Rattus norvegicus: one gene and its partner. The protein of the gene in region 2 interacts with the protein of the main gene of each other region in a biochemical or structural test. Links are inferred from orthologs where the notes say so. Each region holds a gene or a part of one and is shown on either strand. Other genes may lie near its edges.

What was found.
Region 1: the proteins of Ddx39a (region 2) and Sarnp form a complex in vitro, tested with the Homo sapiens proteins (2 studies listed by BioGRID). The link is inferred for Rattus norvegicus from reciprocal best matches to the Homo sapiens genes DDX39A and SARNP.

The regions. Positions count from the first base shown.
Region 1 is NC_086025.1:1,845,310-1,849,130, reverse strand, and holds part of Sarnp (SAP domain-containing ribonucleoprotein), read right to left. Parts: intron 2,894-3,821; coding exon 2,794-2,893; intron 1-2,793. UniProt on the Homo sapiens protein: Binds both single-stranded and double-stranded DNA with higher affinity for the single-stranded form. Specifically binds to scaffold/matrix attachment region DNA. Also binds single-stranded RNA. Enhances RNA unwinding activity of DDX39A.
Region 2 is NC_086037.1:41,322,965-41,326,010, forward strand, and holds the end of Ddx39a (ATP-dependent RNA helicase DDX39A), read right to left. Parts: exon of another isoform or gene 2,828-3,046; coding exon 2,644-2,827; exon of another isoform or gene 2,298-2,643; coding exon of another isoform or gene 2,237-2,297; exon of another isoform or gene 2,028-2,236; coding exon 1,909-2,027; exon of another isoform or gene 1,533-1,908; coding exon 1,401-1,532; exon of another isoform or gene 1,317-1,400; coding exon 1,207-1,316; exon of another isoform or gene 1,124-1,206; coding exon 979-1,123; exon of another isoform or gene 885-978; coding exon 737-884; exon of another isoform or gene 648-736; coding exon 631-647; 3' UTR 501-630; downstream 1-500. UniProt on the Homo sapiens protein: Helicase that plays an essential role in mRNA export and is involved in multiple steps in RNA metabolism including alternative splicing. Regulates nuclear mRNA export to the cytoplasm through association with ECD.

The DNA of each region.
Region 1 (3,821 bases), on a different chromosome or scaffold from region 2:
TTCCAGTGGGTCGTGGGTTCAATTCCCAGAAACTACATGGTGGCTCACACCCACCTGTAATGGAATCTGATTCCCTCTTCTGGTGTGTCTGAAGACAGAACACTCATACAACTCACACACACACACACAAACACACCCCATATATACGTATGTGTGTGTGTATGTGTGTGTGTGTATAACATATGTATATGTATACTTTAAAGACCAATGACAAAGATATCTGTGTTTAAAAACAACAAGGTAGCCAGGCATTACCAATGCCTGCATTTCTAGCACTTGTGGACAAAGAAGAAACCCACTGAACTCAGAACACAGACAGCATCTAAATTTTCTTCAGGATGGAATTATAGTATATTAAAACCAACAACAAATCAGCAACAGTAGGCACTTGATAGGAGAATGCCAAGTCTAGGATTGTAGAGACAAAGAGAGCCCTGTGTGGGCTGGAGAGGCAGCTTAGTGGCTGGGTACTATCGAGGATATGGGCTTGGTTCCAGCACCCACACCATTATTCACACCCACACACCCTAACTCTGGTTCCAGGACATCTAACACTCTCTTCTGGCCTCTTAACACACAAGGCATACACCCACAAATAAAATAAAAATATAATAATTTTGTAATTATTCTTTTTTTAAAAATGTATCTAGGTGTTTTGCCTGCATGTATCTGTGCACATGAATGCAGTGCTCTTCAGGGACAAGAAGAGGGCGTCATATCCCCCAGGACTGTAGTTATAAATGGTTTTAAGCGGCCATGTAAGAATGGGGAACTAGGGTGCTCTACAAAAGCAGCTACTTGCTCTTAATCACTGAACTAACTCTCTAGCCCCAAATAAAATCTTTTAAAAATAAATAGTTGTATGTTTTAAAAGAACCCTGATGTCCTAATGAAGAATTCAGATTTATAGGACAATTCTAGGAAGCAACTTGACAGTGAGCTAAATCATATTAAATATTTACACATTAGTGAATATACAATGACTACAACACTAATCTGGGCATATATTATATAATCTCTCAGGCACATAAAAAAGAAAAGTAGTTTATAAGAGAATTATATATCCTAACAACACTTTAATATATAATATGTAATACTTCATACAATAGAGGAATCTGTTAAGGAATGTTAAGGCCATAAACTGTGGTAGCTTGTAAGATGGCTCACACTCTTGCTCCCAGGCTTGATAACATAAGATCATAACGTGCCCCATCACTCTCTACCTTACCCCTCTGAGATGGGTATCTCACACCCTTGAAACAAGCTCTCACTGAACCTGGAGCTAGCCTTAGGCAGCAGCCTAAGGAGCCCTCCCAGCTTCTCCACCCACAGCGCACACAGGTTTGTGAGAGCACATCCAGCTTTTAGCATGGATGCTGGGATTTAAATCCAGGTCCAACAAATGCCCTGATCTAATGAGCCACTTCTCTAGCCCCTAAAAATATTTTATGGATACAGCAAATACCTAAGAATGGGGTCTGAAGAGTATTTAAAGGAAGGAAATGAGGAATAGGGAAAAAGAGAATGATAAAAATTGGAAAGATACATATTAGCTGGGATGATAATATGTATTAAGGGGGCACTATTTCTTTTTCAAGGTAGGATTGGGGGAGATGAGGTGTAAGGGTAACCAAAGATCACCCAGTTTAAGGATTTCAAGGGTCCAGACACTAGTCTCTGATAACACTTAACTATGTTAACAGTGACTCGCCAAACATATTAAATGAAAGTTTATACAATACAGATTAAAATTAAAGGCTTCAAACTCTTAACTAGTAACAGTGTTATAATTTTTTCTTTAAAGGTATGGTCTTACCAAGTTGCTCAACTGGGTCTCAAATTTTGATTCTTTGGCCTCAGCCTCCAAAAGAACTGGGATTACAGGACTGGCAAATTTTTTAATATTTCATTATTTTATTTTATATGGACTGAGTTTTGCCTGCATTTTATGTACGTACATACATCCTATGTACCAGATGAGAACGTCAGATCCCTGGAATTACATACAGTTGTGAGACACCCTATGTACTGGGAATTAAACCCAGGTCCTCTGCAAGAACAGCACATGCTCTAAACCAGAGTCATCCTCCAGTCTCCTCCATCCTGATATTTAAATAACATACTACGATTCACAGCCAGGGAGGCAATGGGACAAGATCCTACCTCTTTAGTATATAACAAATGAAAATATTTCAATACGGGGCTGGAGAGATGGCTCAGTGGTTAAGAGCACTAGCGGCTCTTCCAGAGGTCCTGAGTTCAATTTCCAGCAACCACATGGTACCTTATATATATAAAATAAATAAGTACATCTTTTAAAAAAATTTTTAATACACCTACATGTACTACACCCAGAGACACATACAGAGTTGTGTGTTTTGGAGGCAGGATCCCACTCTGCAGCTCTAGCTAACCTAGATCTCTAGCCTAGGCAGGCTTCAAACACCTGATCCTCAGGCCTCGGTCCACTGGGTACTGAATACAGGCTTGTATTACAGCATCTGGCTCGGCCCAAACCTACTCTTTGTTGGTGGTGGTTTTTGTCTGAAACAAACTGTTACTTTGTAAATCAGACTGGCCTTGAACTTGAAGCCATCCTTCAGCCTCTCCCTCCCAAGTGCAAGGATTAGAGGCATGAGCCACCGTGGCCATCTCTAAAAGTTTTCTTGATGTTGTTAATTTAAACCTTATGTCATCAATTACCTGAGAGAGGAAGAAATCTTTTTAAGTGTAAGAGCTTGAAACCTAATGTAATGCTTCACTCACATCATGTTCCCTCCACAAAGTACTCACCATGTTCTTCAAGATATGCCTGGAGCCTATTGATAAGATCTTGTTTTATTCCCTTGGTCTCTAAACCACGAGCAAGGCATTCTTGCTTTAGTTCAGCAAGCTGAGAAAACAAACAAACAAACAAACAACTTTTTTAATTCCTATGAATAAAGAGGTCATTCTTTCTCACAAAAGAGAAGATGGCGGTAGCAAGGACAATGGTCAATTCCCAAATCCAAGGCCTATCCCTGACCAAGACCACAGGGCTTTCTAACACACGCTGTAAAACATCACACTTAAGTAAAGCTGTAATCTATTTGTGCAACTTTTTTTTTAAATAACTAAGGGGCAAGTTCTAAAACATTACACTGTCAACAACTTAAGAAAGGGGGAAAAATAAAAATCAATCTTTAGTCAGAAACCCAGTGTTCTAAAGCCAGATTCTCCAAGCCCAGTTTTTGTGTCGAAGCTTGGTCCTCAGTGTATTGGCTCTGGGACTATTAAAAATGTAGAGCAGCCTTACACAGTGGCACATGATAGTAATCCTCCCAGCTGGGAGGGGAAGCAGAAGAGTCAAAACTTCAAGGCCAGCAGAAAAACCCACTCTTACTCCCGCCCCCAAAAGTGGAGCTTATTGAGTAGTATTTAGGTCATCAAAGGAGGCCTAATTCTAGAAAGGAATTAATTTAGGTTAATTCTCCAAACATCAGTCTATATAAAAGAGTAATAGTGGCCAGGTTTGAGCCTGCAGTCCCAGCACTTGGGAAGTGGAGGTAAGAAGACCAGGAATTCAACAACAACAAAGACAATCTAGACTCATTCCATGAGACTCTGTCCTAAGCTCTCACTAACCTCTAGCTTTTGTTCCTACCATGTAATCTCCCCTCAAAATTGATGCCACCATTATGTCATCTCTTATAGGGTAACACTATGCTAATGGGACTTTCCATTTCCAAATTTGGGAAATAAATCTTTCTATAAAGTACATACACCTGAGGTGTTCTGTCATAATGGTAGAAATGGACTAATAAATACCTATTATTTCTAAT
Region 2 (3,046 bases):
CCAGCAGTGAGCCCTGCAAGAGGGCAAGGGGCCACAGCTCCTGCTTCTGGTTGCCTCTCTGCCTCACCGTGACAGCTATTGCCTACCAGAGAAACAAAGCCAGACAGCCCAGACCTGCAGCCCACTGCCTGGTACATGGGGCAGGCAGTCCTGCGACAAAAGCGAAGATCCCTTGAAACCTGGGCTCTTGGCCAGGGTGCTGGGTTCAGTTTCTTTAAGCTAAGACTGACAAGGCCATGTTGGCCACTGAGGACCTGCCTGCTACTGAGGCTCACGGTACAGAGGCCTGGCTGCCCCACATCCAGGGCAGAGGGTCTCCCAGTTAAAAGACTAGGTTTTGTAAATTTTTTTAACATGTAAACCTTTCAATGTTGATACACAAAATTAAATCTCCTGATAAAAAAGATGGCATGCTTGCTGGTGGAGAGGTTGGCCGACTTGAGATGTTGTCTCACTCCATGAGATATTGGCGAAAAGAAAGATGGGGCTGGAGCCAGGTATTCACAATAAAAGTTTATTCTTAACATAGCTAAAGCTTTGGAACAATAAAAAGAGAGGCCGCCGATTGCCACCTAGGAGGAGGATCTGAAGCAGCAGGAGAGAAAGCCATGTGCCTGGCTACACACATGGTTACCGGCTCTGCTCAACTGTAAAGACAAGAAAGTCGCAGTTAGGACAGCTAGAGGTTTGCTCCTGAAACCCAGCAACTCTTCCCAGAGTGGCCCCAGGCACTCACTGTATGTGGAGATATCTATTTCTTCTGGAAGCTCAGCCACATTCACTTCAAACCGGTCCTGAACGTCATTAAGGATTTTGGCATCATTCTCATCTGACACAAAAGTGACTGCCAGACCCTTGGTACCAAAGCGACCAGCACGAGCCACCTGCAGAGATGGTGTCAGAAGACAGGTACTCCTTAGGATCTGAGGAGGAGTGAGGGAGACCCTGAGCCCACACATGCTGGGAGGAAGCACTCACTCGGTGCAGGTAGGTATCCGAGTCCTCTGGCATGTCATAGTTGAAGACGATGTTGACTCTCTCAATGTCCATGCCTCTGCCAAACAGATTAGTAGCCACTAGGATGCGACGCTGGAAGTCCTTGAACTGCTGGTATCGGGACAGGCTAGAGTGGGAGACAAGCAGAGGTATTAAACCTGAGTCCTAGGTGTGAGTACCCGTGACCCCGAGTGGACATCAAGCACTCACCGCTCCTCCTGGGCCATGCCTCTGTGAATAGCGATAGCCGGAAAATTCTGTTCCACTAGGAGCTGGGCCAGGGCCATGCAGCGCTGCACAGACTTGACAAAGATCACCACCTGAAGAAGAATGGTAATGTTGTTTAGGCCAATGGATAATCACCCCCACAGGCCCGAATCGTGGGTGTAGTCAAGAAGCATCACCTGGTTAAACTCTAGCACGTCAAGGAGGTCGAAGAGTTTACGATTCTTCTCACTGTCCTTGAGTTTGACGTAATACTGCTGCAGCCCATGCAGTGTGAGCTTGGTCTCGTCGTCCACAAACACCTCCATAGGCTGTGTGGGAAGGGAAGCAGGAAGGGGCGAGTAGGGCTCACTTCTGGACGTCTCATGTGCCCGGCACCGTCCGGGGAGCAGCTCCTCTGTATTGATGATTCCCAGAGGGCCTGTTGCACCCAACCTCAGTAAACAATTCTCTCCCAAAAGCCGGATGTAAGCTCTGCCTCTGGCTCAGGTGTGGACCACTCAGCTCCCAGTTTGACAAACCAGGGGAAGGAAGGAGGCCAGCGAAGCCTCCTAGCATCCTCCAGGCCATGAGAGCAGTGTGCTTGTCGCAGAGTGGCCCAGCCCTCAGGGAAGGCCAAAGCTGCTGCGCTGAGGTGTTGGCCACGGTGGGCAGGCAGGCAGCCAGCTGGGGCGTCACCCTACTCACATCCTGCATGAACTTCCTGCAGACTGGCCGGATCTCCTTGCTCAGGGTGGCGCTGAACATCATACATTGCTTCTCATGGGGTGTCAGACGAAAGATCTCCTGTACATCCCGGCGCATGTCTGGAGGGGACGCCAACAAATAGCAAGCCTGAATGTCTTGTTTGACTGAGCAGACCCACACCAGAGAGGAACCAGCCCTTCCCAACCTGGGCCAGACAACATTGGCACCATAGCCGCGGTGGAGTGGGCCCAAGGGTGTCCCCACTGCCTGAGGGGCTGGGCTCGGATGGGCGGGAGCGCAGGCATGGGAGGAGCTGCGGTCCACTTACTCGCTGCCAGCATGGAGCGGCCCTGCCAGTGCGCCTTGAGCCACGCTTCAGGAAAGGGAGCCTGAGGCAGAGACAGCCACTGGCGTGAGAGCTGCAGCTTCTTCCCAGGACACATGCCCATCTCTCCCAGCCCCTAGTGGGTGGCAGAGGCCACTCTACTCCTCTAGATTCCCTGGATGTGCCTACATGTCCTAAAGGGATGGCAGCTCATGGGGCCTATGGTCCCAACCAACTTGGGTTCAGAAGCAGCACATACTCTGTTCCCTTAGGGTTCTCCTAGGAGCCTTGAGTTCTGGCCACCCATGTGACCCACTATGAGAGCCACTGCCTGCCCCATCAGGCCCCCTAGAAAATGGCTGTGACTCTGTGAGTGGGAAAGCAGCTGGTCAGGCCAGTAGGATGCTCACCCAGCTGTTCCAGCATCTTGTCACATTCATCTAGCACAAAGTGCTTCACATTCCTCAGGTTGAGGCTCCTGCTCCGCACGAGGGCCAGGATCCGGCCTGGTGTCCCCACCACAACATGGGGACAGTTCTTCTTTAACACATCTTCATCTTTCTTAATGGAGAGGCCTCCAAAGAACACAGATACCTATGGGGATAGAAAGAAAGCTGTTTCTACCCATCCTGAGGGAACCTGACACTCCAGCCCTACTCCCTCAGAACCCAGGGGAGACTGAAGAGCAGGTGCAAGGCTGAGGTATGTGGGACCAGCACAAGCCTGTGGGGGCTGGGCATAACTCATCAGGCTTATAAGGAACGTAAGTTACCACAAACCTCAAGATTGATGAATGCTGCTTGAGGCCAGTAT